Macaca mulatta: one gene and its partners. The protein of the gene in region 5 purifies or fractionates together with the protein of the main gene of each other region. This does not show direct contact. Links are inferred from orthologs where the notes say so. Each region holds a gene or a part of one and is shown on either strand. Other genes may lie near its edges. The genes, in order: DAXX, RBMS1, MRPL20, RPUSD3, PRR3, YTHDC2 and METTL17.

Region 1 (4,202 bases), about 3.5 Mb from region 5:
ATCACTCTCTTCATCTTCTTCGTCATCTGTCTCAGCTTTGGAGGCAGAAGGGCACCCCTGGGATGCCATTCCACTAGGGCCCTGGGGGACAAAGAAGTTTCTCTAAGGAATCCCTTGCCCTAGAGGGTTTGGTTCTTGCATTCCTTCTCATGCTCCCCCATCAGTCAACCTGGACTCCCTGGTGGCCAGTGCAGGGGAAGGACAATGTCTCTCTGAAGGCTTTACCCCATCCACACCTCACCAGAATCCAAGGAGGCGGGGGTGTCTTCAGAGTGGGAAGAGGTGCCTTGGAGCCGAGCTCTTCTCTTTTTTCTCTCGCCCTCCTCACTTTTGTCTTGCAACATTGCATATTTGGAGATGACCTCATCCAGCCGACTCATGGCCAAACTCCGGTTTTCCCGAAGGCGCCGGGCCAACACAGGATCTGATAGTGCAGGGTCAATGCCTACGTGGGAAAATATAAAGTCAGAGCACTCAGCCGTGGAAGGGACTAGAAGAGTACAAACCCTAGAAAGGACTAGAGAGATGCCCCATCCGCCTCATACCTGACATATAAGGGTCACTGAGAGGCATCCCACTAACCCCCTACCTGGCCTATAGTCATCTGTGAGGTGGCAGCCAAAGTTGTAGATGAGATCGAGGTGACGTCGTTCCTGTAACCTGATGCCCACATCTCGGAAGGCATCCTGAGCCATGAGCTGGAGCTGCTGTCGGGGGAGGCCAAGGCTGTGTCGGGCAGCTGCCTTCTCTACTGCCCGAAGCACATCCCCATAGTCAGGGAAGGTATCAGGCCCTGGCTTGTTGATGAGCCGCTCAATGCGCCTGTTAACCTCTGGGTAGCGGGTGCCACGGTAGGTGATGCGCTGCTCTATGACACGGCCGGTCAGTGAAGAGCAGTCTTTCAGCTCACATAGTCGCCCAAAGAGGCGGATTAGCTTACGCTTCAACCGTGCCTCCTGCAGGTATGTGGAGTCTGGGTCATCCAATTCTGAGAGATCCAACTCCTTTTCCTGCAGCCGCTTGATCTCTGCCACATAGAGCGCCAGCAGCTGCTCCAAGCGCTGGATCTGCCGCCGGGAACCACGGGTCCTTGGGGCCTGAGAGGCAGTGTTTTCAGCATTTGTGGGGTCCAAGGAGAGGTGTGTGGGAGGGTTATTCCCAGAGGGCTCATTGGACGTGGTGGCAGCAGGGGCCAAGTTCAGCTTCTTTTTGGCTGAGTGGGCCTTGAGAACAGTGCAGAGCTCATTGATGTAGACATAGAGCTTAGATGGCCGGCTCTGGGCCCGAGATAGGACCCGAGAGAGGATGTTGCAGAACTCCGCCGAGGCCAAAAACAGAGAGTGGGCACGTTGCTGCCGGTTAGAGAGGAATGGGACCACCTCAGGGTGGTCCGCTGTCTGCGTCTTACAAAGTTCAAGGAACTAGAAGGTTCAGGGGAAGAAGGAAGGGGAAGAGAGACAAGGGAGGGGGTTGAGAGAAAGGGGAGTGGGGTTAGTGGGGAAGAAAGGACAGGAGAGCCAGTCAGCCATCCCCCTCCCTGGGGTACAATGATCTTCCCAGCTAAAGCTCACCTCTTGGAACAGCTTCTCATTCTCCAGCTTGTAGCACTTCTTGCCGCCCGAACTACTGCTTCCTCTGGCCCCATGAGGCTCAGAAGAGCTAGGGGCTTCTGCCCCTGGTGAGGCTGTACTGGGGAGTGGGTGGGAGGGCCCTGGCTGAGCAGCTGCTTCATCTTCGTCATCATCATCCAGCACAATGATGCTGTTAGCGGTGGCCATGGGGGAATCAAATCCCCCGGAAGGAGGAAGTGGTGGGGATTTCAGAATTCCTGCTGGAAGGGGATGGGGCCTCAGAATGAGCCCCTCCAGCATAGCCCCATCCCTTCACCTCACGCATTTTCTGAACTCCTTGGGTTTCAGCCCTGACCAACACTGTCTTCACCACCTGATTTCAATAACCATTAGTTCTATATGCTTTTCGGGCCCTTCAAGTGGTGTGGGGGGGGGCAAACCCCCCCACACCTTAAGTTGCCACCTTCTGCTCCACCCCTCACGTCGATTTCCGGTCTTTCTGTTGCATTTCCCCACTCTTTCTCAGAGTTGGCAAGTTGGTTCTTTCTCCCACACTGCACCCTAAATCGTCCTGACACCCCCTGGCACAGACAACACACTCCTGTGGGCGCCACCTCATGTGTTTGCCCCCTCTGCCCTCAAACAAGTCAACCCCACACCCGCCCCATCCTGAATGATCACCCCAACTCCTAGACTCTCTGAGGTGAAAGAGGTTCCCTCCCAACAGTCCGTTCTCTTTTCCCCTCCTTGAATTATCTCCGTATTTCACCCTCAGATGAGTCTCCTCAAACTGGGCCTTTAGGTTGAAGATATTTTACCCAAGTCCCCTCCCTTTCACCCCACCCTAATTTTCCCCATTCTCTCGGTGACCTGTAACTAATTAGAAGTCCCCCCGCACCGCGCTACGCTCTCCCGATTCCTCTTAGATCCCAACCCTGGGTCCGGCCGGTCCGGTAGATGCGCTTCCCGCCAAATCCCCCTCCCCCAGTTCAGCCCCCGGCCGCCCCACTCCCTTTCAGGGATAGGAAGGTACCACAGTTTTCCCCTCAGACTCAGAGCCCGGCTCTCCCCAATACCTCTGCCTCGATATCCCCGCCCCCGCCTCTGATCCCCGCACCATCCGGCCCCCACCTCAGAAACCGTCTCTCGAGGCGACCCTCGCCGCAGATCTCAGAACCTCGCATGGTTCCCTCCGCCTTCCTTCCCACTCCCACCGCAGGCCCCACTACGGACCGGAAGCAACAGAGTTTCCGCCTGCATGCAACTAAGCGCCGCCATATTGTCGTACGGAACAAGGCTTCCTGTGGCCGGAAGCGGCCGTAGGCCCGCCCCGCGAACACCTCCAGTGCCGCCCACATAGTCAGCGCTGTCTTCCAGGTCGGAGTTTGTCTCCCCGAACCCGGGCGTCCCAAAGCAGCTGGGGGCCGCCATTTTGCCGTACGGCGCTGGCTACGCCAGAACTTCGGTGCGCAGCCGGAGGAGCTCTTTTCACCCGGTGCTTCTCTGACTCCGCCAATCAGAAACTTCCTCCCTGGGGTCCAACCGCCGGCGAGTAGCGCGTGGGGAGAACGGAGCCTCCGTTCCAAGGAGGGGCAGGGGAACCGAACAGGGTGGTTTAGGAATTAGGCTTTCCAAAGCTGCGTAGGGTTTCAGGGAATGGCAGAAGTCTCTTAAAAGGGAAGTAAAACCTTTATCTTCAACTAGGCTATTGGCAAGCTATCTGGCCCTGCTTTCCTGTCCCCCAGGTTCCCATCTCCACGGCTTATTCGGCTGACCCAGCCCCTTCCCCTGCAAGGGCGGCGCGCTCCTTGCCGCTGTCCAGCAGCTGCTTCTACTGCCAGGTGCTGCGTCCCACAGTCGTTATAACACATGCGTACAAATAAGCACAATGCGCCATACAAAAGTGTTATTATTATTACTATTGTTGCTGATTTGCTTTTCAAGCTTCACCACAGAACTAATGACCAGACGGTTGGGACCTGAATGGTTCTCCTCCAGAGGGGGTCCTCGAAGGGCCGTCGGTGCTGACTGTGAGGCCGTGCTTTGTCGTGGAGGCCCAGGGTCTGCGGATGGGCGATGATGGGGTGGGGCTTGGAGGAGAGTTTGAGCCTCTGCAAGGGCTGCTGTGAAACGAAATGAGGCTCATAAAATACTTTGGGTTTCCTCCTCCTCTTCTGGGAGAGGGTAAAAAAGAATGAAAGATGAAGAAACAGACTTGATACCCACCTCGTTGAGTTTAGGGAGGTTGGAGGGAGTCGTGGAGGCAAGGCTGGGTCCAGAGGTGAGCTTATGAGGAAACCAGAAAGATTAACAAGGTCCCAATCGCAAAGATTCCCATTTCCACAAGTGGTGGGCATCTTGCCGCTTAACTAGGTTCACAGAATTTACTACATCCCTAACGCTGAGTCATAGAATCGCAAACACCCGTCCATTGAACAATCCCACATCACTTCTCTCCAGTCGTCAAAGTCTACAGCTTTCAAAATGGGGAACATAAAAAACCTCCGCGAGGACTGGAACTTGGGAGATGTAAGGGATTTAATTTCCAGAACCTCAACTTTCCCAAAATTGGTCTTCCTAAGGAAACACCTGCAGTACAGGTTCTCATTCTTCACTTCTCCTTTTACAATA
Region 2 (4,125 bases), on a different chromosome or scaffold from region 5:
AAAAATTACTAAGGTAAATGTGCCTGTAGAAACATGGTTTTTTTTCTTCTTCACCTGAGTGGGTGTATTTATTATTCATATTGTTAAGTGTTGAATAAGCTGTCCTTTAGCCACCCAATGCTGCATAATTTAAACAAGTGCATTAAATATATAAGACATCTAAAAGGCAGTGCATTGATTATGCCACAAAATTTCTTTGAACACCTTCCATGTAGCTCACAGAAAACTAGCATCTCCTGCAAGTTCCTGAAAACAAATACTGTGAAAACTACACAGAGATGAATAAGGGGTATCCTTGCTGCTACCATTTTGCTGCTTTCTGGTGACCCAAAGTGGAGTGGGAATTGGGTGAAGTGAAAATGAGGCCCTGGAGTGCTAGGACATTTCTGGTCTAGATACTGACAAGTGTCCTTTTTACGTAGACAAATACAGGGTTATGTCGTAAGTACATGAAAACGTGGACCACACACATTCTAAGAAAGAAAAGGCTGAATCAGAGATTCTTTGTATCAGGCCGGAAATGCCCAACTACCAGCAAGCAGAGCGTGATTACAACCTCCCAAAGAAAGTTGGTACACTGCATCCATACCTGATACTTTTGTGATCTAGAAGGGCACCCGGAGTTGTGATAGATGTTAATGGCAGAAGAAGGACGCTGAAGAAGGCCGCTGCGTCCAACTTCCACCCTCCCAAATTCTGGCGGCTGCTTCCAAAGCAGTGAAATTTCCAGTCTTCCTGGCCCAAACAATTTTTTTTAAATGAGTTCGGGAGGCATCAAATTCTTATTGTAAAAATAAGATAGGCCCACTAACAAAGTACCTAGGGTCCCTAGAAAGCCAGGCGCAATTTGTATGACTACATGTCATCAGCTGTTGTTACCCAGAGTGTGCCGAGGTCACTTTTTAAAAAGCAACATTGGAAATCGATCTGTGGCAAACATATAAGCTAGTTTTGTTTTTGTTTCTTTTTTAACCAAATACGAAGTCACTTCTTTCTCTGCACTGAAATCTGCCCATTGTCCCTCCTTTGCAAAACCTCTAGAGATTAGAAAGGACATCAATGAACGCGAGTGAACTTTGGCCACTTTTCTACCCAAAACACCAGCGTAAAAGTAGAAATCAGTAACCAGGTGAAGTGCCACACCGCACAAAGATCAGAGGCGAGGGGCGGGCGCGCAGGGCCGGAGGCGGGGAGGAAAATGTCCCGGCCCCGCCGCCCCTCCACCCTAGTCGCTGCGCGCGCGGGAGGTGGAGGGGCGTCCCTGGGGGGCGGGAGGCTCCCGCCTCCACGGCGAGGGGAGCAAAGAGTTACAGCTTACAGGGCGAGGCCCTTGGAGAAGGGGTCGAAAAGCCGGGCCACCAGCGGATCCAGACGCGGACGCCAGGCGACGGCGGCCGGCCGGCCAGGGCTCGGCGAGGGGCGCCGCTCGGCCCCGCGACCCTCCCCGCTGGCCGGGCCAGGAAGGGGCTGGTGGCTCTTTCCTGTCTAGTCTCTCCCCCCGCGCCTTTCTGTAACCCGATCCCCGCACTCCGCTCCCAGGGAAGCCGCCGCCCCGCGCGCCGCCCGGCTCTGCCCAGGCCAGCGCTATAGTTAGCAACCTTCCAGCAACTCCGCCCGGGGGCGGCGGGGGCTCGCTGCGCGCCCCTCCCCGGGCCCGACCCCGCGCGCACCCCCGGACCCCCTCCTACGGCCGTCATCTCCCCCCGGTGCCCCTTTACCTTGGCTTGCAGATACTGGGGGTAATAGTAGGTGGCGTACTGAGGGTACATCTGCTGTTTCCACACTTTGCCCATGAAGCTGGAAGGGAGCCTGCAGTGCAGGGTCGCGGACACTTTGGGGTTTCCAAGTCTCGGGCTCTCCTGCCTCTCCCTTTCCGGCGGCGGCGGCGGCGGCGGCGGCGGCGGCGGCGGCTGCTGCTGCCGCTGCTCCACCTCCCAGCCGGGACCAGACGTCCTCCTCCTCCTCCTCCTCCTCCTCTTCCTCCTCCTCCTCCTCTTCCTCCTCCTCCTCCTCCTCCTCCTCCCAGGCAGAAAGAAAGACACTGCAGAGCGCAGAGGGCACCCCGGACAGGGCGCTCCCAACGAGTTTCCTCCCGGAGCCCGACTGCTCCGGGGCTGCCAAGGGCTGGCGCGCTGGCCGCGGTCCGCTCGGGGAAGCTGGCTGCGCGGGGCTGAGAGGTGATCAATACAAGTGGAAAGTGCGGCAGCGGCGGCTGCGCTCGGTGCCAGGCGGCATCTGGGGTGGGTGCGCCCGAATGGGAGAGAGGAGAGGGGCTGGCGTTCCGAGGCCGTGGGGGAAGGGCGGGCGGGGGCGGGGCCTGGGCGACGCCGAGCCCGGGACCCGCGGAGGTGAGGGCTGAGTTTTAACCACTCCTCACCTCCTAGGCTCGCGGTTGGACTGGCGGAAGCCCTGGGAGTCCAGATCGCTTTGTGTCGGGGGTGGGGAAATGGGAGTGGGAGTGAGGGTGGAGGGGGAATGCGGGGGGGGACCCCGCTTAAGAACTGCAGGGCGGGCACCTCTTCTGCTTTCCCGAGTTTTTATCTTCGTAAGGGGGAGGGGAAATAAGGGAAAAGAGGAAATCTGATTAATCTCTCACTTCCCATCGCCCGGTAATTTTTTTTCACAAGGGAAGGAAAATGATTTAATGCCCAACAAAGCTGGAGTCCGGACACCTGGGTCCTGTTCCTCCCACCCACCACCCACCCCGGGCCACAAGACTAATCTAGGTGACCTTGGGAGGGTTAGCGTCCTTCGGTTTGGTTTTCCCAGATGTGAGAGGTGAAATCATGCCCCTTGCACAAGGGGAGGCAAAGCACATACACACACACACACACACACACACACACACACACACCCCTCACAACAAATAGACGGATCCTTCTAAGGGGGGGATGCCGCAAAGAGGCAGAATGTTATTAGAGGACACAATATAGACATCAGCTTTTCTCTGCCTCTTTCTAATGCTGCCAGACAGTCTGTCAACTCCCACTCAGGAGCAAGGAAACTCCCTGAGTTTGGAATATTTTAAGGCCATTTTGAAAGTCACGCTGGCATATTGTTGCAGTGTGCTTCAGTGACATATAAAATCAATCTCTCTTTCTGCCTCTCTCCATCTCCTAATTGTCACAGCTCTAGACAACCCCAGACCAGCAGTGGTTCAGTTCACTACATAACTGGATATAATTTAATGGAGTTAATTGGTCCCCGAAGCTGCCTGCAGAAGACTTTTATATTTCCAGCTCAAAAAGAGAGCTAATACCAAAACGTACATACGGATAGCATAGGTAAGCAAACATCCTCAAATTAGGGTTCCGGCACATCTAATAAAATATAATAAAAACAGTGTTTGTTATTAAATAGACCTTGATTACTTTGTCATTTTGGTTTTTGGAGAGTCTTTTGTTAATAGCACAAGGTAAATTAAACTCAACTGGAATGCATTATTTTGTTAAACAGTTATTATTTTTAAATAACATTTTAAAACAGGTTTAGTAAGATACTTTAAAGCAATGACAAAATAGAGACCCAAAGCCCTTATAATCGTTATATGGTTTAGACAAATTTCTAGATCATACATGTTTGACAAAAAATAAATATAAGTATAGGTGAGCACGTTTTGGGTCTGCCAGGAGGCAAATCATGTCCCTCTCATTTACCTATGTAAAATCCTATAAGGAAGCTAATGTTTACTGTGTCTGCTATATTGTAGGCACTGTTGAGGTGCATGCAGACCTGAAAGGTGGAGTGGGTCACTGTCAGACTAGGGGAGCCTAAAATATTTCCCATATTGTTTCAATGTGGGCCCCTTTAATGTTTTTAAACAGAGAACTGACATGAACTAAATTGTGCTTTAGGAAGACTAGGAATGATGGTTTGGAAGAGTGACAGAAGGAAGAGAAGTAAATCGAGAACAATCGCAGAAGTTCTAGGTTTGAGGTAATAAGGGAAACTACCAAACTTAGACTGTTCTACTTACTGTTTTTTTCTGGATGATGGAAATTCAGCCTGTTTTAGAGAACCCAAAAGCAGACCCACACTTATATAGACACTTGATTTATGACTGAGTTGGTATTATAGCACAGTGGAGAAAGAATGAACTTTTCAATAAATGATTCTGGGTCAATT
Region 3 (4,146 bases), on a different chromosome or scaffold from region 5:
TTCTCTTAATGGGGAAACATCAGGACTTACATTCCAGAAACACATGACTTGTTTCCAATTCTGCTCTGCTGCCAACCAGTGTGGTAAGCTCCCAGACTTGCGAGAACCCCACACAAAGACAGAGTGCAGCTACAGTGCGGCGGGAGTGGCACCCCTCACCTCTGCTGCATGGACCACTACTGGGCTGGATCAGGTCTGATGGGAGGGTTTTATTTATTTTTTGAGATGGAGTCTTGCTCTGTTGCCCAGGCTGGAGCGCAGTCGCGTGATCTCAGCTCACTGCAGCCTCCACCTCCCAAGTTGTCAAGCGATTTTCCTGCCTCAGCCTCCGGAGTAGGTGGAATTCTAGGTGCCTGCCACCACGTCCGGCTAATGTTTGTATTTTTAGTAGAGACAGGGTTTCACTACCTTGGCCAGGATAGTCTCCAACTCCTGCCCACCTCAGCCTCCCAAAGTGCTGGGATCACAGACGTGAGCCACCCCACCCGGCCATGGCTTTCTTTATTCTTTGTCAGACAGGGTCTCGCTCTCACCTAGGCTAGAGTGCAGTGGTGCCATCATAGCTCACTGCAGCTTCAAACCCCTGGGGGCTCAAAGTGATCCTCCTGCCTCAGACTCCTCAATAGCTGACACTACAGGTCTGTGCCACCACACCCAGCTATTTTTACTAGTTTTTTTTTGTAGAGAGTGGTCTCACTATGTTGCCCAGGCTGTTGCTGGCACTATTCCTAGGCACAATCCCATCACTCATCAACATGGGAACTGTGACCTGCTCCGTTTCCAACCTGGGCTGGTTCACCCCTCCTTAGGCAACCTGGTGGTCCCCTGCTCCCAAGAGGTCACCATATTGATACCAAACTTAACATGGACACCCCATCAGCAAAGAAAACTACAGCCCAGAAGTCAGTCTCAGGGATCCTCTGGCCAAAGCCTCCTGAGTCGCTGGGCTATGGGAGGCACCGCCACACCCCACATGATGGTTTCTGCAGATATCCATAATTTCAGCAGGGCCCACATGCTCACCCATACCTTCACTAAATTGCCAATGAACGCTGGATACTTCAGGCCGTGTTCCTGGCTAGCAGCTGTAATTCGATTAATCCAGAGCTGAAATAAGAAAACATGGAGATACTTAAAAATGACTTCTGGATGTTATGTCCTAGCAAAGGCTCTAATTGAACTAAGGAATATTTTTCTAAAAGTAAATAGGAAAATAAAAAAAGCAAATAGCTATGATGGTGACATCACACTCCAGCCTGAGTGAAATCAAGACCCTGTTTCAAAATTAAAAACAGCAAAAACCTGGCTGGGCGCAGTGGTTCAGGCCTGTAATCCCAGCACTTTAGGAGGGCAAGGCAGGCCGATCATTTCAGGTCAGGAGTTCGACACCAGCCTGGCCAACATAGCTGAACCCGGTCTCTACTAAAAACACAAAAATTAGCTTGGTGATGCACACCTGCCGTCCCAGTTACTCGGGAGACTGGGGTGGAAGAATCGCGTGAACCCAGGAGGCGGAGGTTGCATTAAGCCTAGATCACGCCATTGCACTCCAGCCTGGGTGACAGAGTGAGACTCCGTGGGAAGGAAAAAAAAAAAAAAAACGGCCGGGCGCGGTGGCTCACACCTGTAATCCCAGCACTTTGGGAGGCCGAGGTGGGCGGATCACGATGTCAGGAGATCGAGACCATCCTGGCTGACACTGTCAAACCCCATCTCTACTAAAAATACAAAAAATTAGGACGTGGTGGCAGGCGCCTGTAGTCCCAACAGGAGAATGGCGTGAACCCGGGAGGAGGAGCTTGCAGCGAGCCACTCCAGCGTGGGCGACAGAGCGAGACTCTGCCTCAAAAAAAACACAAAAAAAACAAAAACACGGGTATGTTAGATGGTAGGTTCATGAGGCTGAGGTGGGAGTGGTGAGGCGCAGAAATGAGATGGCACGTGGACAGAGTGGAGGCGCTAGCCTCTCAAAAATGCCGGGGGTTCCGGGTGTGCAGAGGTTGCCAGCAGGCGTGGGCTCTACGAGGACCACCACGGCAGCAGACAGTGGCCCTGGAGGGTGGGCAAGGGGCTGGGTTGACTTCAGCTGTCGGAGGGAAGGGAAGCCACCGGAGGGGAGATGAGAGCAGCAGCGACTAGGGCGGTGGCTGGCGACGCAGGAAGAGTGGCAAGGCGGCTCTGCAGTGGCCCGGGCGAGGGGCTGGAGCAGGGGTTGACAGTGGGGGTGGCGAGGGGGGCGGGAGAACGGATGTCCCACAGTCAGCCTGCGGGGCGACATAATTTGTCGGAGTTTCGAAGCGAGGTATGAAAGGAAGAAAGGAAGGAGCTGAGGGTGGCCGAGCGGCTGCACACTCGCTGGGTCGCGAAGCAGAGACGCAGGGGCCGAGAGCGCCCTGGCCGGCCGGTGTCCCGGGTCCACGCTTACGGTCCTCATGTTCTTTTTCTTCAGGTATCGGGCTTTGGTGCATTTCACAAAGGCTCGAATCACGGCTCTAACCGCCAAACTGTAGCAGCGATTTTTCCTCCCCCGGAAGTGCTGGGTCAGAAAACGAGAAACCAAGGTTGTCAGCGAGGCCCGCGCCGGCCGCCCCTTGGCCCGCGGGATCTCCCGCGCGTCCAGTGCCCACGCCGGGCGAGCGGCACTCACCCTGGCGTGCTTCAGCACCTCCTGGATCCGAAAGTAGCGGTCGGTGACGCGATTCCGCAGCCAGAGCTGCGCCGTGAGGAAGACCATGGTGCCTGCAGGCCGGCGTCCCGTATACTCAACAACGCATGCGCCGCGCCACCGCCATCTTGCCCGGGTCGGAAATAGCGGTCACGAACGCTTCCGGGTCAGCGCCTGCGATGACTTCCGGGGCGAAGGTCGTCTCCCGTCAGCCCGCGGGTGCCGGGCTGAGTCTCTGAACCCGCGGTGGTGGCGCTTGTAGGGGAGCGGGTGTGGAGCCCTGACGGGGACTGAAAGGAAAAAGGGGCCGCAGCGCCCGTGGCCATCCGCGGGCGATGAATAAACAGCAGCCGCAGCGCGGATCCTCCTGGAGCACGGCCCGGCCGCAGCTGTGGCTCCGAGGGCGCCATGAGGGCAGCGGACTCGGGACGGGGGCGCCGGGGCCGGGGAGCGCCGGGTGTGGCGCGGGCGGGGAGGGCCAGGCCGCCTCCTAGGGCCACGAGAATGTTCAGGAACCGAGGTGCAGATGGTCGCGTCGCTGGGAAAGTGCCCGTTGCCCCTGAAGCCTTCTCCTTGTTGACTTACTCATTTTGAGACGGGGTCTCGCCCGGTCGCCCTGGCTGCGGTGCAGCGGCCGGACCTGGGCTCGCGGCGGGCTCGCGGCGCCCTCGCCTCCCTAGTAGCGGGGACGTCAGGCGCGCGCCGCCAGCCCGGCTAATTTTTTGTGTTTTTTGTAGGGGGGAGGTCTCCCTGCGTTGGCCAGGCTGCTCTCGGACTCCTGGCCTCTGCTGGGATTACAGGCCTGAGCCACCGCGCCCGCCCTAGAAATTCTAAGCTTCCAAAACGGCAAATGACCGCGGTGGTGCCAGTGCCTGCAATCCCAGCACTTTCGGGGGCCGAGGGGGGAGGATCACTTGAGTCCAGGAGTTCCAGACCAGCCTGGGCAAGATAGTGAGACCCCAAGCTCTACAAAAAATTAAAAAGAAATTAGCCGGGCGCGGTGATGGCGCGCGCCTGAGGTCCCTGCTACTCAGGAGGCTGAGGCGGGAGGCTCGCCTGAGCCCTGGAGGTGGAGGCTGCAGTGAGCTCAGATTGCACAACAGCCTGGGCAACGGAGCCAGAGTCTCTAAAAAAAAAAGTTTTGTATTATGGGTAATTTTATGTTTCTGCTATATTGCCACAAAAATGATGGGAGGTGTGCAGTTTCTTTGTAACTTTTTATTATACTTGGATATGATTTTTTCTTAATCATAGAAAAGTTGGAATACTAGTACAAGGAAAACTCCCCAGTGTTTGCTACGGAAACGTGCCAACTGTTCCATTTGTTTAATACTCTCGAACCAAATTCACCTCCTGTGGGGAAAAGAGAGAGATCAGCCTGTTACTGCCTCTATATAGAAAGAAGTAGACATAAGAGACTCCATTTTGTTCTGTATTTGAGATGCTATTAATCTGTGACCCTACCCCCAACCTTGTCCTTG
Region 4 (4,058 bases), on a different chromosome or scaffold from region 5:
TCGACTAGCAATGCCTGCCACGAGTACAGTCATGGAGAAATGACTGCACACTAAGCATAGGTATTATTTTCTCTATTTTACCATTAGGGGAACTGAGGCTCAGGGAGGGTTTTGTTTTGTTTTGTTTTTTTGAGACAGGGTCTCACTCAGGTTGTTTAGGCTGGAGTACAGTGGCAGGATCTCAGCTTATTGCAGCTGCCATCTCCTGAGCTCAAGTGATTCTCCCATCTCAGCCACCCGAGCAGCTGGGACTACAGGCATGTGCTACTATGCCCAGCTTGTGTGTGTGTGTGTGTGTGTGTTTCTTTTGTTTTGTTTTTTTAAGTAAAGATAGGGTTTTGCCATGTTGCCCAGGCTGGTTTTGAACTCCTGGACTCAAGCAATCCTCCCACCTCGGCCTCCCAAAGTCCTAGCGATTACAGGCATGAGCTACCATGCCCGGCCTCAGGGAAGGTTTTGTTGTTGTTGTTTTTCCAGAGATGGGGTCTATTTTGCCCAGGCTGGTCTCGAACTCCTGGGGTCAAGTGATCCTCCTGCCTTGGCCTCCTAAAGTGCTGGGATTACAGGCGTGAGTCACTGTGCCCAGCGTCAGGGAGGTGTCATGCTTTGCCTGGTATCACACCATTTGTACTTGAGGATTTGAACCCAGAGTCATCAGCTTCCTCCTCTTCACTGTACCTGTATCCACCTCTACGATCTCAAACCTTCCTATGGAAAATGTGTCAGCATATCCCAAAGCAGCTGTTTCCCCACCATAGATGGATGCCTGTACTCCTAGCTTCCTATCACCCCTACCACTTACTTCCCAGATGCTCGGACAACCTGAAGCTCCTGCTCCCCGAGCCCCAGGGACTGGCTCAGCTCTGGCAGCACTGACAACAACGTCAGCTCTCCTGATTTTCCTGGAAAGTAAGAAAGAAAAATTACAAGAGGCCAAAGCTTCACGCCTTCACTTTTCCCTCCCCAGACACAAAACCCCCTTCTGCTGCATTCCCTTCCCACATACCCGGCCTGTACCTGTCACTGGTAGACCCTGTGGCTTGTTCAACGTCACTAGAGGTCCTGAAACATACATCACATGAACATCAGCAAAAGCAACAGTAACCCTTTATGCAGCACTTAAGAATTTCCAGAGCACTTTCTCACACATCTTAGCACATGGCCCCATCATGACTCTCAGACGTGACTTATCTACCGCACACCAAACTGAACTGCTTTCTGTTCCTCTGCCACCTCAGAGCCTTGGCACTTACTGTTTCCTCTGTCCCCAAATTTCCCAGGTCTGGCTCCCTATCACCTTGGCTCAAATGTCACATCACAGAGAGGTCTGAATCTCCAATCCAACGTCTGCCCTCTTCCTACAGTTCCTCACCATTAGAACATCCTGTTTCAGTTTATGCATAGCACTTATCACTAGTAACTTGTTCATTTATTTTCTGACACCCATTTCTCCCATTAGAGAGAAATCCATTTCTCCCTTGAGAGCGGAAACCATATCTATCTTTTTCAGCACTGTATACCTGCCTAGAACAGTGCCTGGAACACAGCATATGTTTAAGAAATAGTTGAGAAAAGAAATAAATCACTGAATGGAGAGTGGGGTTCAGAGAAATTCAGTTATTTTCCTAAAGCCACACAGCAAGCTGATCACAGAGCCTAGATGTCTGACTCAAAGCCTGTGTTTTGTCTATCAATAAACAATAATTTGTTGTCGTTTTTTTAGACTGAGTCTTGCTCTGTTGCCCCAGGCTGGAACACAGTAGCACGACCTCGGCTCACTGCAACCTCTGCTATCCGGGTTCAAGTGACTCTCCTGCCTCAGCCTCCCCAGTAGCTGGGATTACAGGCGGACGCCACCACACCTGGCTAATTTTTGTATTTTTAGTAGAGACGGGGTTTCACCATGTTGGCCAGGCTAGTCTCGAACTCCTGACCTCGGGTGATCCGCCCGCGTCAGCCTCCTAAAGTGCTGGGATTACAGGCGTGAGCCACCGCGGCCAATAAACAATAATCTAGTATAGCAACTCCTGTAACTGAGCGCCGGCTATGTGCAAGGCTTGATAGTTATTTGCATCCTCTCCCCACTCTTAACCCTACTGCATCATGGCGGTAAGGTTAAAAGCGGGGAGAGGGTGCAAATTAGGTGGCTCGTCCCAGCTCATGCTGCTAGTGGGAGGCAGAAGCAGGGCTGATCCCGTGGCTTCACTCCGCGGCAGTCCCCTCCCGATCCCTGTGCGGCCGTGCCTCTCACCCCTCACCTTTCCGGTCCACCACGGCTGCCCGCAGCGCATCAACCAACTCCTCCCGACTGAGGTTTTTTGGCAGCAGCCCCGGGAAGGGCTGGTCCCCGAGGGGCCCCGACCGTAGGCGGGAGCCGCGGGGTTGCCTGTGATGCCTGGACAACGAGGGAGAAGCAATGGGAGTCATTCCGTCCCGAGGTGCCGCCCATTCCTATCTCCCGACGCCTCTTCCCAAAACCTGCGGCCTCTGACAAATGCCTCACAATGTCTAGGCTGACCTCGAAAATTCAGGTAGACCGGTCCCATCCTACAGTCGAGGGCACCGAGGCTGAGAGAGGCCAAGGGGCTGTTTTCGGGTAACATCTACCTGATGCAGATCCCGCACGTGCCTTCCCGCTGCCCTAGCCTCCGTCCCGCATGAGGGAGGGGGTACTTAATCACCGGGCTTCGATGCCAAAGCCTGCGTCCTCGGGCGCTGTGCTTACAGCCAGGCCCCGCCGCCAGCCACTCCAGATCGGACCCAAAACACGGCGGCCGTCCATCTCCCGAGTCAGTACAGTGCGCATGTGCTTTCAGAGGAGCAGCGCCACGCTCCCGCCAGCGCGCTGATTGGTCAGCTTGAGTGTCAATCGGAATGGTGACGAGGCGGGACTCAGAGCCGGAGGAGGCGGGCTTTTCCTTCTCCCAGGAAGGAAATACAGCATTGCGGGCCTGTGCTTTTGGGGAGAGCTCAGGCAGAGGAATTTGATCTGTGAAGAAAATGTGTCTTGGTCGGGCGCGGTGGCTCATGCCTGTAATCCCAGCACTTTGGGAAGCCGAGGAAGGCAGATCACAAAGTCAGGAGATCAAGACCATCCTGGCTAACACGGTGAAACCCCATCTCTACTAAAAATACAAAAAATTAGCCGGTCGTGGTGGTGGGCACCTGTAGTCCCAGCTGCTTGGGAGGCTGCTGCAGGAGAATGGCGTGAACCCAGGAGGCGGAGCTTGCAGTGAGCTGAGATCCGGCCACTGCAGTCCTGCCTGGGGGACAGTGCAAGACTCCATCTCAATAAATAAATAAAATAAAATATACAGAGTCCTCCTTTTTCAGCAGTGAGTAACTCAAGGCCTTGGTGGTTTTGGAGGACAACTGCAGCTAAGGAGTCAATTTGGGCCTAAAGGACTGATAAAGTTTATGATACGTCTGTCATGCTAGCAAAGAAGTCATTAGAAACACTACAGAAGGTCGTGACAGAGGTTGAAATGCCTGCTATTCCAGTACCAAGAGCAATAGTGGAGGCAGAAAGTCCCAAATTGACAAGCAAGGGAATTAGTGGAATAACTCTTCTTTGTCGTGTCGGTGTCATGAGGGGAATAGGAAGCTCTTCGGTCCCATTTGCAAATTGAATTTTGGGAGTAAGGAAAACTAGTGTGCATATTCCTGTCCAATTAGCAGGTAGACACATGTAAGTGGAGGAGCCACAGAGGAAGAAGAGACCTTGTGCAAGGCAAACTGGAAATGCAAAGTAAAAAGATGAGATGGAGTACTGTAGCAGGACAAGCCATAGACAAAACTCCTCACACACCGAGTTAAAGAAGGAAGGGGTTTATTCGGCCGGGGGCATTAGCAAGACTCCTGTCTCAAGAGCCGAGTTCTCTGAGTGGGCAATTCCTGTCCCTTTTCAGGGGTCATAACTCTAAAGGGGTGCATGTGAGAGGGTCATGATCAATTGAGTAAGCAGAGGGTACGTGACTGGGGGGCTGCACGCACCGGTAATTAGATCGGAACAAAACAGGATAGGAATTTTCACAGTACTTTTCTATACAATATCTGTA
Region 5 (3,948 bases):
AATCATACACTATGTCTTTACTGAACATAAAGTCCTCAAAGTTCATCCATGTTGTAGTATGTGACAGCATTTTCTTCCTTTTAAGGCTGAATAATAATCCATTGTATGTACACGCCACATTTTGTTTATTCTTCCATCAGTGGACATGTGGGTTGCTTCCACCTCTTTGTTATTGTGAATACTGCTGCTATGAACATGAGTCTGCAAATATGTCAAGACCCTGCTTTCCATTTTTTTTTTTTTTTTTGCTATATACCTGGAAGCAGGAGTTCTGGGGTAGTTCTATTTTTAATTTTTTTTGTCATACATACATATTTTTAATTGCTTAAGAGGAATCTCTTCATATTGTTTTATATAGTAGTTTCACCATTTTATAATCCCAGCAGCAGTACACAAGAGTTCTAATTTCAAAGTGGTATATTTTTATCTTGCATTTACTTGACGATTAATGATATTGAGTACTTGTTGATTTAGACTTTTAGTTCATTTAGAGCTCCATTTTAATAAGGTGTCCTTTTTTTTTTTTTTTTGGTCGATTTTTCAAATGGCTTGTCTGGAAGAATCCTTTATATATTATAGATAAAGGATCTTTATTGGTTATATTTGTTGCAAATATCTTCTATTGTATAGCTTCCTGTTAATTTCTTAATGGCGTTATTTGGCAAGTTTATATTTTCTTTTCTTTCTTTTTTTTTTTTTTTTGAGACAGTCTCACTCTGTCACCCAGGCTAGAGTGCAGTGGTGCGATCTCGGCTAACTGCAACGTCCGCCTCCAGGTTCAAGCGATTCTCCTGCCTCAGCCTCCTGAGTAGCTGGGATTACAGGCGCACACCACCACATCCGGCTAATTTTTGTATTTTTTAGTAGAGATAGGGGTTTCACTATGTTGGTCAGTCCAGTCTTGAACTCCTGACCTTGTGATTCGCCCGCCTCAGCCTCCCAAAGTGCTGGGATTACAGGTGTGAGCCACTGCACCTGGCCGCAAATTTATATTTTCTAATGGAGTTCAATTTATCAATCTTTCCTTTATGGTTAGTGTGTATACCTACATTTCTTATCTGTTTAAGAACTCTTAGCTACTCTTAGAAAATACATTTACTTTCTAGAATAATTATTCTCTTACCTTTTATACTTAGATCTACAGTCCATTATACAATATGATTATGACTACAAGGTGAAATTCCATTTTTTAACATGAATATCCAATTGATCCAATATCATTTATTGAAAAGACCAACTTTCCAGTTCCATCTTCATCATAAATGAAGTGTCCACACATGTATGGGCCTGTTATTGGACTCTTCGGGACATAAGTCCTGTTGACTTATGTGTATCATTGTGTCCAAACCGCATCGTTGTAACTACTGTAGCTTTATAGTAAGTCTTTTTTCCTTCTTGTTTTTATAGACAGGATCTCACTATGTTGCCCAAGTGGCCTCAAAAACTCCTGGGCTCAAAGGATCCTCCTACCTCAGCCTCCTGAGTAGCTGGGACCACAGGCATATGCCACCATGCCCAGCTTACAAATCTTGATATTCATAGTACGCCCTCCCACTTCAAGATTGTTTTGACAGTCTCTCACCTTGATATTTTGCATTTCCCTATAATACTGTGTATTTCCACAAAAACATTATGGGTGTTCTGACTTGGAATGCATGAAGTCTATACATCAATTTGGGAAGAAGTGACATTTTTACAACATTGAGTTTTTCAGTCAGCAAATATACAACTTCTCTCCATTCATTTAGGGATGGAATCCCTGACCTTTTGATTTTTAAGTCCTTCCTGGGTTTTATCCCCTCCCTTGCCGTCTTATCCGCGACCTAATACAAGGATCAGGGCCCCTTCCTCCTCACCTGACTTAGGGTCGCCAGGTTTTCCATTGGCCATGGGGGGAGGGCCCAGAAGGCTGGGTGGTCCTAAGAGCAGACATGAAAATATGGTCATCAGAATGGATTAAAGGACTGATGATTCTGTTCTTAGGCGTTTTTCTTGTATTACTCATTTCTTAATTCAACCAGTAAAGTCAGGTATATTTTCAGCAGTCTTAGGAGTTCTCACCCCATCTATCTGCTCTTTTTTCTGCAAAGCTGTTTCAGGGTTTGCAAAAAGTAGATATTCAATCAAAGGCGATAATGCAGGAAAAGATACAACTTTTTCTTTTCCTCACCGTACCGTCGCTATCCAAAACAACCTAAGTGTCTCCAGACATAAACCAATCCCTCACCTTAACTGCTGGCCAGTCAGTTCTCTTCTCCTTTCACTCGGCCAGAGGACTAGTTTAGAGAAAGCGGCACCTGTACCTTTTCAATCAAAATCCGGATACAAACTGTCAACCCAGTCATCGCAATCTGCAACATCTCTACTGCCCCTTTCCCCTACTGTTCTGCGGCTGCGCAAAAGAGCTCTTTACTCTCTCCACCCCCGCGTTCCAGAAAGGTTTGGGGCCGTATTGAGGTTGACGGTTCCAGTAAGAGAACTCCTGGTTCAAGGCTCCATTTGGGACAGCCCTGCTGCCATCCCTACCCAGCGCGTGCGCCCTTCCTCCTTCCGTTAGAGCCCCTTCCTTCGCACCTTATTAGCCCCTAGCCCTTCGCCCGGACGGGCTTGACAGGCATGTGCACATCCCTCCCTGACCCCTCACCGATGGGACTCCCATCCTCCTCATCTCCAGTCTCTTCCCGCTCGGGCAGTGGGGGTTGCTGCTGTGTCGGTGGCTGGTGCTGATTCTGCTTCTTTCGTTTCGGCATCGTGGCTGCGGCAATGGCTGCAGCGGGATTTGGAGGGTAGTGAGGAAGGGGCACGCGGGGATTCTGTTTCCGCTTCCGGGGGGTCGGTGGGCAGCAATGCCCAAGCTCCCACCATTCCACTTCCGGAAGGTTGCGGAGAACATCTGTGGCGGCCGCATTCTGGAGTAAACTGCCTCTCTCCGTCTCTGCCAGGCATGGCGGCAACCTCACACCTTCCTTTTGCTGCGTTTCTATAAATGCTTTGAAAAAATTCCGCTCTTCTTCCCTCGCTGGAAAACACCACAACCAGCTCCTCAGAGTGTGTCACAGAGTCAACAGGCTCTCGGGCCAGAAGGCCTGAGAAGAGGACTGTCGCACCGTAAGATCGCCACATCCGGTCCTCGGTTACTATGGTAACAGCTGCAGGCACAACTTTGTGCCCTTTGACCTCCCTCCAAAAGCCCTTGTCCCGCCTGGGTTTCGCTTCTCGCCCGCTTTTGCACTTCTGATCTGTAAACCTGCTCCTTATCATCGTTCCCACAAGGAATTTGGGTCCCAGCAGGTCGGCAGCCAGGACTCTTCAGACCGCCGCCCTCCCCTAAAGACCTCTGACCGTGCCCCCGGTGTAGCCCAGCAACCTGGCTTCATTCCCGGGACGCACCGTCTCGGCTTTCCACTAAGGTCAAGCCTGGGGGTTGGGAGTGTAGCCTCAGCGTGTCCACTCCTCCTCTCCCCTAGGTAATAGGCCCCGCCCTCCGCTCCGCCGCCCCCTCCAGGTGAGTGGTAGCTTCTCCCGGGAGCGCAAGGTAGTGATGACACGCGCTCCCCCCTCCTCCGAACGCGAGTTGGTAGCGTCCGTGACGAAGTTAGCCTGGTCCTCCCACGCGCGCCTCCTTCCTCGCCGCCGGGGTGCTCTCTCGGTGCTACTGGCTCTCACGTGCCAGTAGCCCACCCCGCATCATCCTTTCGCCTCGCTCCTGGAGGGAAGTGACTGTGTATCTCCCCTGTCCGCCTTCCATCGCCGCCGCGGCGGCAATTCGGTCGGGCCCGCCCGCTGACGTCACCTGCTAGCTCCGCCTCCTCTAGGGTCCCGGGCCCCTGCGGCGGGGACTGCCCCGGGGGGCAGTCAGTTGAGGCGGCAGGAGCTCGGCGGAGGGCGGGCCAGGTGACTGGTCCGGGCCATGCCGAGGAAGAAGCCCTTTAGCGTGAAGCAGAAGAA
Region 6 (4,176 bases), on a different chromosome or scaffold from region 5:
CAACAGCACCAACAGTGAGAAAGCTTCCTTTATATTGATCCCACCATCCTTACTGACAAAATGAAATAGGTCCACAGAATTTAGAGTTTTTCAGTTTGGATGGCTCAAATGACTTTTCCCCACTGTAGCTCTGTGATCCTCCCAACAAAACAAAACAATTTCCTCCTGTACCACTTTTTAAAATTATTTCTAATCATCCGATTCTTGACTTGGTAGGAAAGAAAACAATGAACATATGTTCTAAAGCTTACTATTACAGTGCAGTAACAGTAAAAGACATAAGTTTCATAAATAATTGTACTTATTATCTTTTGTACATCAATATTTCAAATGAGATTTCATTTCTATAAAAAAATAAAAATATTTTTCTCAAGAAATCAACTTCAACTTTTAAACTATTTTTTTCTTACATCTTAAAATTTACCTTTGAAAGAGTTCAGAGTATGCCACCCAAATATATGTCACTCTCCCATAAAGATTATTTTGAGCTGAAGGCAATTGAGAAGAAGCAGACCTAAAAGAACTCTGCCCTCCCCTGCTTTACCAGAAAGGGCAGGACTATTCTTAATAAGAGAAACCACTCTAGACTCTTAACCCAGAGACAGCACCAGAGGAACCTACATAACCAACCTTGCTAAAACAACACATACCTTCCATTAGTTTCCCCATATATACCTTCCCACAATTTACTGCACCTACAAGTTCAAAGTCCTTTTCCTTTGTCTTGTCATTTTTTAAATAAATTCATTGTTCTTTATTAAGATGCCACATAAGCCCCATGTTTGAGTTACTATCGAGTTTTCCCCTATGTATGCATGATGCATATCTTAATAAGCTTATGTTTTTCTCTTGTTAATATGTTTTTTATCAGTCTAATTTGCAGGGTCCCAGCCAAGGAACCTAAGCTGGGTAGAGGAAAAAGCATTTTCCTAGCGAAAAAGATAACAAAACAAAAAAGGCAGGGAGAGGTAGATAGAAGGAAGAGGAAAGAGGTGAATTTGGTACAGACCTGAATCATTTTATCTACACAGGATACAACTAAGAATGTGAAGTTAAAACAGTAATAACTACTTAAACGTACTCAGAAACATTCTCCCTTTTTTGAGCAAATAATCTTTTTTTAAAAACAATAAGAAAAGCTACCAGCTTACCCTTTACTTTTAGAGACCAAACCAAGAGACTGACTGAGTCGATGAATAAAGGCTCTTTCAGTACTGGTCAAAGAAGAAGGAAATTCCATCTCTACATGAGAAAAAAATAAAAGCAGTACAATTTGTAGGTAGGCAATTTTCTCTCAAGTAATACACACAGACATAAAATATGAAAAACATAGACAATCAAATTTATTATACTTTATGTGAGGTTAACTTACTTTATATTTCATATTCTAAGTTAATAATACTAATATATTTTATTAATAACTACTGAACGTCTACCAGAATTCTGATATTGATAAAAAGACATCTATGTATTAAACCTAAATGTGATAAAGGCCTCTGATGTTCACCAATAAACGACTCCTCTTACTTGTGCTGGAATTTTGAGTTGGTATAATGACTGAACATATTTAACTTGGTCCCTACTTGTTTAGTTAACAAAATAAATGATGAGATATGCTCAAACATTATGAATTCTCAACATGAAACTCCATTGTCTTTGCTTTCGAAACTGTATAGAATTCATATTTCACTATTTCAGAGGGATTTGTTATATACTGCTGAGGCTTTCTCTTTTTTTAATGTGAATTCACAATCTCTCTGTCCAGAACATTCCCCATTTTTGACTATAAAGAGTCCAGAGTAAGAGGTCCCCTAATTAAGCCAGCAGGTCCGAATGAGCCCTCAACATACTGTACAGGTCACCACAGGTCAGTTGCTGGTTCTGCACTATATGATCCAAGACAAGCGGCTTTCTAACCTCAGGAGGTGTGGAAGAGGCTTCGTGTGCCAAACAGGTTTAAGTGGGTAGCGTGATTGCTTCAGGGTTCAAACGTATTACCGGTGCACTTACTTATATGTTTGATTTCTTTCTGCTTTTCTACATCTGTAGCTTAAACGTGCCACAATTAAGGTGACACTCCCTTAAAAAAATTTTTTTAAGGGTTAAGGCTAACCAATATCTGAAACACGGTGGCTTAACCGCCCAAGGCTGTTGAAAGACGCGGGGGAAAAAAACACTTGCAGCTAGCGAGCAAAGTGCCCATAACCCCACTAATGCGCAGAGCACCTCGCATTTTACCGCAGGGCTAACAGCCGCGTTCCAGACCCGGGTGCCGCCGCTGAGGCCCGACCCGGACGGTGGCCCGGGTCCTCCCTCCCTCTTCGGAGGCAACCCCATCACTCGGTGGGCCCAGGTTTGGGGGGCGCTGGGGTAAGGGGGTGTCCTGACGGCCAGCAGGGTCCCTGTCGGGAACCTCACCTCTCTGGTCCCCGTATCGGAAGCGCTCCAGCGCGATATTGACTGCGATCTTCACCTCCTCATCAATGCGAATGTCCTTCAGCCCCTTGGCCCGCCCGCCGCCCCCAGGGCCACACGGCGAGGGGCCACCGCCTCCGCCACCGCCAGGAGCCGGCTGCCGCGGGGAGACGCTGCTCGGCCTGGACATTGCCCTGAAGAGATGGTCTCCCCGCACGGGAGCGGCCAGGCCTGCTGGGTGACAGCCAATGACAGAGACCGTGGGACTCCGGGGCCACTACCCGGCGGCTCCGCAGACGGCCTGCGTTGGGCTGAAGTCACCAGAAAGCCCTCAGTCACCACAACAGCAGAAGTGAAACCTGCGCCGTTGATATCACGGCAAGGCGGGGAGCGCGGGCGTAATGACGTCACCAGGGCCGACGCCCGTGACCTCAGCGCGGCCGCCGCTGCGCGCCTAAGGGAGGCTCTGCCGAGCTGTGGTGCGGTCCTCTTCCCCCGCCGCCCGCCAAGGGTCGCTCCTCGTCTTCTTACTCACTCCCTTGCTATCTCGTTTAGTCCTTCATTAATTCCTGCAGTAAGCATATATGGGCTCCCACTGTGGACCTGGCACTATGCCACGCCTTCGATATACATTGGAGAAGGTTCCTACCTTCATGGAATTTATATTATAGTAGGAGGAGGGTTGCCAGATTTAGCAAATAAAAATACAGAATGCCTAATTAATTTGCATTTCAGATAAACGAATACTTTTTAGTATATATATTTCCCGTGCAACATTTGGAAAAATATCATAAAAAATACATATACTAAAAAATGAGCGACTGTTAGGTGTCTTGCATTCTTCCCTTTTCTGAATGGGAGATTTTAATGCAAGTATGCCACCCTTGCTCTATCACGCTACACAGGGTAGCTGAGTGGGGACAGGTACGTAGTACATATTTACATAGTTCATGAGTTACCTGGCAATAAGGATACACATCTGAATCTAATAAAGAGGACTGTGTATCAACAACAGATCCTGGATGCAGTGACTAGATAGAATTCCAGGTGTCTGGGGAGGATATACGTGTATTCTGTGTGTGGTAAAAAGGGGGTGGAATATTTGGTGACAAGAAGTATGAACTGTGGCATAGAATACTGATACTCATCAAAAAATGTTTCTCCTTTTCTTCCTAGGAGTGATATTTCCCAACTCCCCTGCAGTTAGCTGGGGGCCACATGGCTGAGTTCACATGGCCATTGGAATGTTGCTGGAACTGATGTACACCACTTCCAGGATTGGTCTGTAACACCTTCCTTGAAGTCTCCCTTCTCTGCCTTTCCTGGTCTTCTGGAAGTTCTTAGACAACGGTAGAACCACTAGATAGATAGCAGGTTCCCGATCCCCTGAATGAGTGTGATAGAGTGTCCTCACCAACCCACATTGGAATATGACATGGGTAAGAAATAATCCTTAGTTGTGGTAAACTGCTGAGATTTAGGGAGTTTTTTTTTTTTTGTAACAATATGGTAAATTGTTGAATTCATCAAAGGTATGGCTTTGATGAATCACACATTCCCGTGTTCACACCCTTGTATTCTTCCTTCCCATATGGACTCTGTCCTTGGCAATGTAACTTGCTTTGGCCATTGGAACATCAGCAAATATGAGATAAGCAGGGCCTTGAAAGGTGTTTGTGCATTAAGGTTTACCCTGTTTTGAGGCTGAGAATTCTTCTTCCACAAAGTAAAGAAGCTTAGGCTAGGCCACTGACAACTATG
Region 7 (4,160 bases), on a different chromosome or scaffold from region 5:
AGGAAAAGCTAGAAAAGAGGCAAGTGTCAGCCTAGGACGTGTCAGTGGGCCCTGCATTCATCTACAGGAAAGGCGGTTCCGCATGGAAGAGGCAGAGCAGCCCTTCTCCCCTTGTCCACCCATGTCTTCTCACCCCGCCTCACCCCGAGATGAGGAGCCCTGAGAGAGCTGGCAGGCTGCGGTCGGTGAGGGCTGCAGATTTGAGGAAGAAGTCGAATAAGGGAGAGGACCACAGAAGGGCAGTCCAATTAGGGTGCTGGGACCTGAGATCCCTGGACCACCTGTGGTAGGGCCTGATGACCCAGGAGTCTAGCCCTCCAGATGAACTGGCTGGTTCCACACACAAGTCAAGTGGATATGCTGGGAGAACATCCTAAACCTGTAACAGAAATTAGGGGGGCAGGAACCCACAGAAATCACACACTGGGTGAGCTCAAGTGTTTGGAGACTGAGGTAGCAGTTGTGCACTGTCAGATTCCGAAAGTAGATATGGCCTTGCATATGCCATTTATCCTTCTGATGCTCTGGTGAATGAAGGAGTTGATGGCCTGCAGACTCTGGAGACATTACCCTGTGCTACATTATCACGTCACAAGAGTGGCTGAACCCACCTGAGATTCTGCACCTCAGGTAGTCACGACAGCATCTGTAGAAGTCCTAGGCCTGGGGGAAACAGTGTGATCTAGCAGCAGACTCAGAAGGGTCCCCGTCAGAACCAAGTTTTCTGTGAAGCGAGTTTCAGTCCTTTTCCCTGAAGTACCTAGCACGTAGGTGTTCTCAGTAAGTGTTATGTTAGCTTACTAAGAAGACTGGTCTCATTTGAAGAGAAATTAACAAATGTAAAAAAATAAAATAAAATAAACCGATTAACTAGGTTTTTTATCAAACTATTAACTATTCAATAATTATTTAACTATTAATTTCTGTTGTCTAAAGTCTCTTAAATATGATTTTTCTCTTCTCTTCCTTCCGTTACTGCAGTCTCCCTTTTTCACACAGGGAAACAACCCAAGACTCAGAGTTCTCCGCGGAGGAATGCAAAGAACACAGGAAGTCAGTATTCCCAGAAACAGTCTCTGCCAGTCAATGGCGCGCTCACACCCAACTCCATCCCGCCCCCGTCCCGCCCCACCCTCTTGATTTCTGGCGCCGGTGACCAAGCCCGACGCAGCCTCCAGCCCAAACACGGTTTCCGCCTCAAGGATATTTATATAACCATTGCTTATTGGCTGCTGGCAAACACTCGCTCTTCTGGTTGGCTGAAACTGTCGGGGGACGTTCTGCGAAGGCGGCTCCTTGCGGCGTTGTGACTGAGGGTCACAGGAACCTACATTTCCGTTTCCGGTTCGCCTCCGGAGCCATGGCGGGGGCACTGAAGTCTCTACTGATATTAGGAAGATGGTGCCCCGGCCTTGGAGTAGCTCCCCAGGCCCGGGTGAGTACCTACATTGCCGGCTCACGGAGAGACTCTGGATCTGCAGAGACATCTCCGCGCGGAGGAGGAGCGCTTCTGGCAGCCCCCGCCCTAGCGAGCGCCAGCAACTTTCCTTTCTGCCAGAAAATCAACCTTTCTTTCTCTGCCTGCAGTCGCTCGCCGCAGTAGTACCTGGAGTGACACAGATAGATAACAAGTCCGATTTCCTGCAGAAGAGGCCTCATCGCCAGCACCCTGGCATCCTAAACCTACCGCACGTGCGGCTGCCACAGGCACTGGCTAACGGTGCCCAGTTACTGCTACTTGGTGAGTAACGGCTGGAAAGGGAGAAGAAACGGGACTGGACCTGCATGCAAGTGATTCCGCTTTTCATCTTTGGCCCATAGAGAATGCTGGGCCCACTATGGAGAATCAGGTGCAAACACTGACCAGTTATCTCTGGAGCAGACATTTGCCTGTGGAGCCAGAGGAGTTGCAAAGACGGGCTAGGCATTTTGAGAAGAAATTTCTGGAAAACCCAGGTAGGACTTAATAATTAAAAAGTAGGCCAGATTGAAATGTCGGTTAGAAATGAAGAGTAAGAAATAATTTTGCAGTCTCTCGAACAGGTACTGAAGTCTCTTATTTGACTTTCTAACCAGAGCAGCAGTTGTAACAATGATGCCTTATTAAAAGAAGGTAGATTATTCTAGAGATTGCTTAGGTAAAGGTTAGAATGTCCCAGTATACTGTTTTTTGTTTGTTTTGTTTTTTGTTTTTGCTTTGAGACAGAGTCTTGCTCTGTCGCCCAGGCTGAAGTGCAATGGCTCGATCTCGGCTCACTGCAACCCCCACCTCCCGGGTTTAAGTGATTCTCCTGCCTCAGCCTCTTCACTAGCTGGGATTACAGGCGTGCACCACCACACCCGGCTAACTTTTGTATTTTTAGTAGAGACAGGGTATCGTCATGGTGGCCAGGCTAGTCTTGAACTCCTGACCTCAGGTGATCCACCCACCTCGGCCTCCCAAAGTGCTGGGATTACAGGCGTGAACCAACGTGCCTGGCCACCAATACACTGTTAAAATCTAGATACTTGTTTTTTTCCTGCACGTCCACTGGATTAGGACCTTCTAAGTTTTTATTCAGGTAAAATAAAGTCCCTGGATGACCTCTACCCAGTACTGAAATCCTCTTCTGGGATAAGAGGATAAATATAATTCATCAAGTTAGTTTCATGATTGTGAGCTCCTTAACATTACCATTTATTCATCTTGCATTCCCTGCACACCTTACAGTACCTGGCTCATAGTAGGTGATCAGTAGATACTTGCTCAATAGTACTGAACTGAACAGTCATGAGACCTAGATTTTCAAATTTCTTTCCTCTCCATAGGAAAAGTGGAGATCATCAAAACCTTAAATTTTGGAGAAGTGAAGAAATCCAAAAAATAGTGCCCTTTAATTTTTTTTTTTTTTTTTTTTGAGACAGTCTTGCTCTGTTGCCCAGGCTATATAGTGCAGTGGCACGATCTCAGCTCAACACAACCTCTGCCTCCTGGTTTCAAGTGATTCTCCTGCTTCAGCTTCCTAAATAGCTGGGACTACAGGTGCACGCCACCACGCCTGGCTAATTTTTGTATTTTTAGTAGAGAGAGGGTTTCACCATGTTGGTCAGGCTGTTCTGTTCTTGAACTCCTGACCTTGTGATCCACCTGCCTCAGCCTCCCAAAGTGCTGGGTTTACAGGTGTGAGCCACCACGCCCAGCTTACCCTTTAAATTTTTATCACACTTTCCTTTAATGCAAAACAAACCTGTGGAACAGGATTGATTAAGCTGAATAAATCATTCTTAGAAGCAAAATGCTATTTGAAACAATCTGTTAGTGGTAGTAGTTACTGTTAATTCTTGCCTGAAACTTTTCTCTAGGTTTGTTGTCTCTCTTGAGCTTTAAGACTTTCTTAGGTGGAGTCAGGGAGGACTGGGTGGGCAGTATATTCTGATATTGGATCTGAGCCCTGTTCTCCCTAGGTCCTGACTTCCAGTCCTTGTTCTCACCACAGACTTATGTCAGACAGAGGAGAAACTTCGTGGAGCAGTGCTACATGCACTACGTAAAACTACCTACCATTGGCAGGAGCTGAGGTAAGGGGGCCTAGAAGAGGTGCACAAGAAAGAAAAGGCAGAGAGAGTTGGGGGAGTACAATTACACAATCAATTTAGTATTTTTTTTTACATCACCTGACCTTAAAAGGATCAATTTAGTATTTGAAAAAGTTAAAGTTCGAAGTTTCGAACCCTGAAGTTTGAAAATTTAGTGTTTGTAAGGTTCCCCAGGACCCTTTTGTATTGGGGAGTGAAAGGCCTGAGCTGGAAGAGCCTTTTCCAAGATGTCATTTTCTAAATCTAGAAGGTAACTATGGGATTAAGGTTATTTACTAGTATGTATGACTCTCTGATTTTAATGGCAGCTACACTGAGGGACTGAGCCTGGTGTATATGGCAGCAAGACTGGATGGTGGCTTTGCAGCAGTCTCCAGAGCATTCCATGAGGTGAAAGTCCCTTAACTTCCAACCTGAACTTTTTGACCATCAGTTCCCTATTCATAAAGTAGTTTTCTAGGATGGGGATTCTTGGGACATTGCATATGCATTTTTTTTTAAAGAGGATCTCCGCTGGGCATGGTGGGCTCCTGCCTGCAGTCACAGCTGTTTGGGAGGCTGAGGCAGGAGGATTGTTTGAGCCA

The links.
Region 1: the proteins of PRR3 (region 5) and DAXX purify together in Homo sapiens (co-immunoprecipitation; 3 studies listed by BioGRID and IntAct, with this or other methods). This does not show direct contact. The link is inferred for Macaca mulatta from reciprocal best matches to the Homo sapiens genes PRR3 and DAXX.
Region 2: the proteins of PRR3 (region 5) and RBMS1 purify together in Homo sapiens (co-immunoprecipitation; 3 studies listed by BioGRID and IntAct, with this or other methods). This does not show direct contact. The link is inferred for Macaca mulatta from reciprocal best matches to the Homo sapiens genes PRR3 and RBMS1.
Region 3: the proteins of PRR3 (region 5) and MRPL20 purify together in Homo sapiens (co-immunoprecipitation; 3 studies listed by BioGRID and IntAct, with this or other methods). This does not show direct contact. The link is inferred for Macaca mulatta from reciprocal best matches to the Homo sapiens genes PRR3 and MRPL20.
Region 4: the proteins of PRR3 (region 5) and RPUSD3 purify together in Homo sapiens (co-immunoprecipitation; 3 studies listed by BioGRID and IntAct, with this or other methods). This does not show direct contact. The link is inferred for Macaca mulatta from reciprocal best matches to the Homo sapiens genes PRR3 and RPUSD3.
Region 6: the proteins of PRR3 (region 5) and YTHDC2 purify together in Homo sapiens (co-immunoprecipitation; 3 studies listed by BioGRID and IntAct, with this or other methods). This does not show direct contact. The link is inferred for Macaca mulatta from reciprocal best matches to the Homo sapiens genes PRR3 and YTHDC2.
Region 7: the proteins of PRR3 (region 5) and METTL17 purify together in Homo sapiens (co-immunoprecipitation; 3 studies listed by BioGRID and IntAct, with this or other methods). This does not show direct contact. The link is inferred for Macaca mulatta from reciprocal best matches to the Homo sapiens genes PRR3 and METTL17.

Annotation. Positions count from the first base shown.
Region 1 is NC_133409.1:148,966,215-148,970,416, reverse strand, and holds the start of DAXX (death domain-associated protein 6), read right to left. Parts: upstream 2,801-4,202; 5' UTR 2,756-2,800; coding exon 2,703-2,755; intron 1,832-2,702; exon of another isoform or gene 1,779-1,831; coding exon of another isoform or gene 1,762-1,778; coding exon 1,572-1,761; intron 1,422-1,571; coding exon 590-1,421; intron 446-589; coding exon 237-445; intron 82-236; coding exon 1-81. UniProt on the Homo sapiens protein: Transcription corepressor known to repress transcriptional potential of several sumoylated transcription factors. Down-regulates basal and activated transcription.
Region 2 is NC_133417.1:65,311,886-65,316,010, forward strand, and holds the start of RBMS1 (RNA-binding motif, single-stranded-interacting protein 1), read right to left. Parts: upstream 2,801-4,125; 5' UTR 1,794-2,800; coding exon 1,719-1,793; intron 1,198-1,718; exon of another isoform or gene 590-1,197; intron 1-589.
Region 3 is NC_133406.1:239,277,441-239,281,586, reverse strand, and holds the start of MRPL20 (large ribosomal subunit protein bL20m), read right to left. Parts: upstream 2,801-4,146; 5' UTR 2,735-2,800; coding exon 2,648-2,734; intron 2,537-2,647; coding exon 2,426-2,536; exon of another isoform or gene 1,807-2,425; intron 1,530-1,806; exon of another isoform or gene 1,108-1,529; coding exon 1,030-1,107; exon of another isoform or gene 1-1,029.
Region 4 is NC_133407.1:148,636,858-148,640,915, forward strand, and holds the start of RPUSD3 (mitochondrial mRNA pseudouridine synthase RPUSD3), read right to left. Parts: upstream 2,801-4,058; 5' UTR 2,783-2,800; coding exon 2,682-2,782; intron 2,396-2,681; coding exon 2,259-2,395; intron 1,063-2,258; coding exon 1,018-1,062; coding exon of another isoform or gene 1,007-1,017; intron 903-1,006; coding exon 803-902; intron 1-802. UniProt on the Homo sapiens protein: Catalyzes uridine to pseudouridine isomerization (pseudouridylation) of specific mitochondrial mRNAs (mt-mRNAs), a post-transcriptional modification necessary for their translation.
Region 5 is NC_133409.1:152,487,934-152,491,881, forward strand, and holds the start of PRR3 (proline-rich protein 3), read right to left. Parts: upstream 2,801-3,948; 5' UTR 2,751-2,800; coding exon 2,645-2,750; intron 1,920-2,644; coding exon of another isoform or gene 1,857-1,919; intron 1-1,856. Other genes in the region: GNL1 (guanine nucleotide-binding protein-like 1), read left to right, coding at 3,911-3,948.
Region 6 is NC_133411.1:122,452,071-122,456,246, reverse strand, and holds the start of YTHDC2 (3'-5' RNA helicase YTHDC2), read right to left. Parts: upstream 2,801-4,176; 5' UTR 2,606-2,800; coding exon 2,419-2,605; intron 1,243-2,418; coding exon 1,152-1,242; intron 1-1,151. UniProt on the Homo sapiens protein: 3'-5' RNA helicase that plays a key role in the male and female germline by promoting transition from mitotic to meiotic divisions in stem cells.
Region 7 is NC_133412.1:93,838,574-93,842,733, forward strand, and holds the start of METTL17 (ribosome assembly protein METTL17, mitochondrial), read left to right. Parts: upstream 1-1,360; coding exon 1,361-1,435; intron 1,436-1,587; coding exon 1,588-1,741; intron 1,742-1,821; coding exon 1,822-1,956; intron 1,957-3,476; coding exon 3,477-3,558; intron 3,559-3,884; coding exon 3,885-3,966; intron 3,967-4,160. UniProt on the Homo sapiens protein: Mitochondrial ribosome (mitoribosome) assembly factor. Binds at the interface of the head and body domains of the mitochondrial small ribosomal subunit (mt-SSU), occluding the mRNA channel and preventing compaction of the head domain towards the body.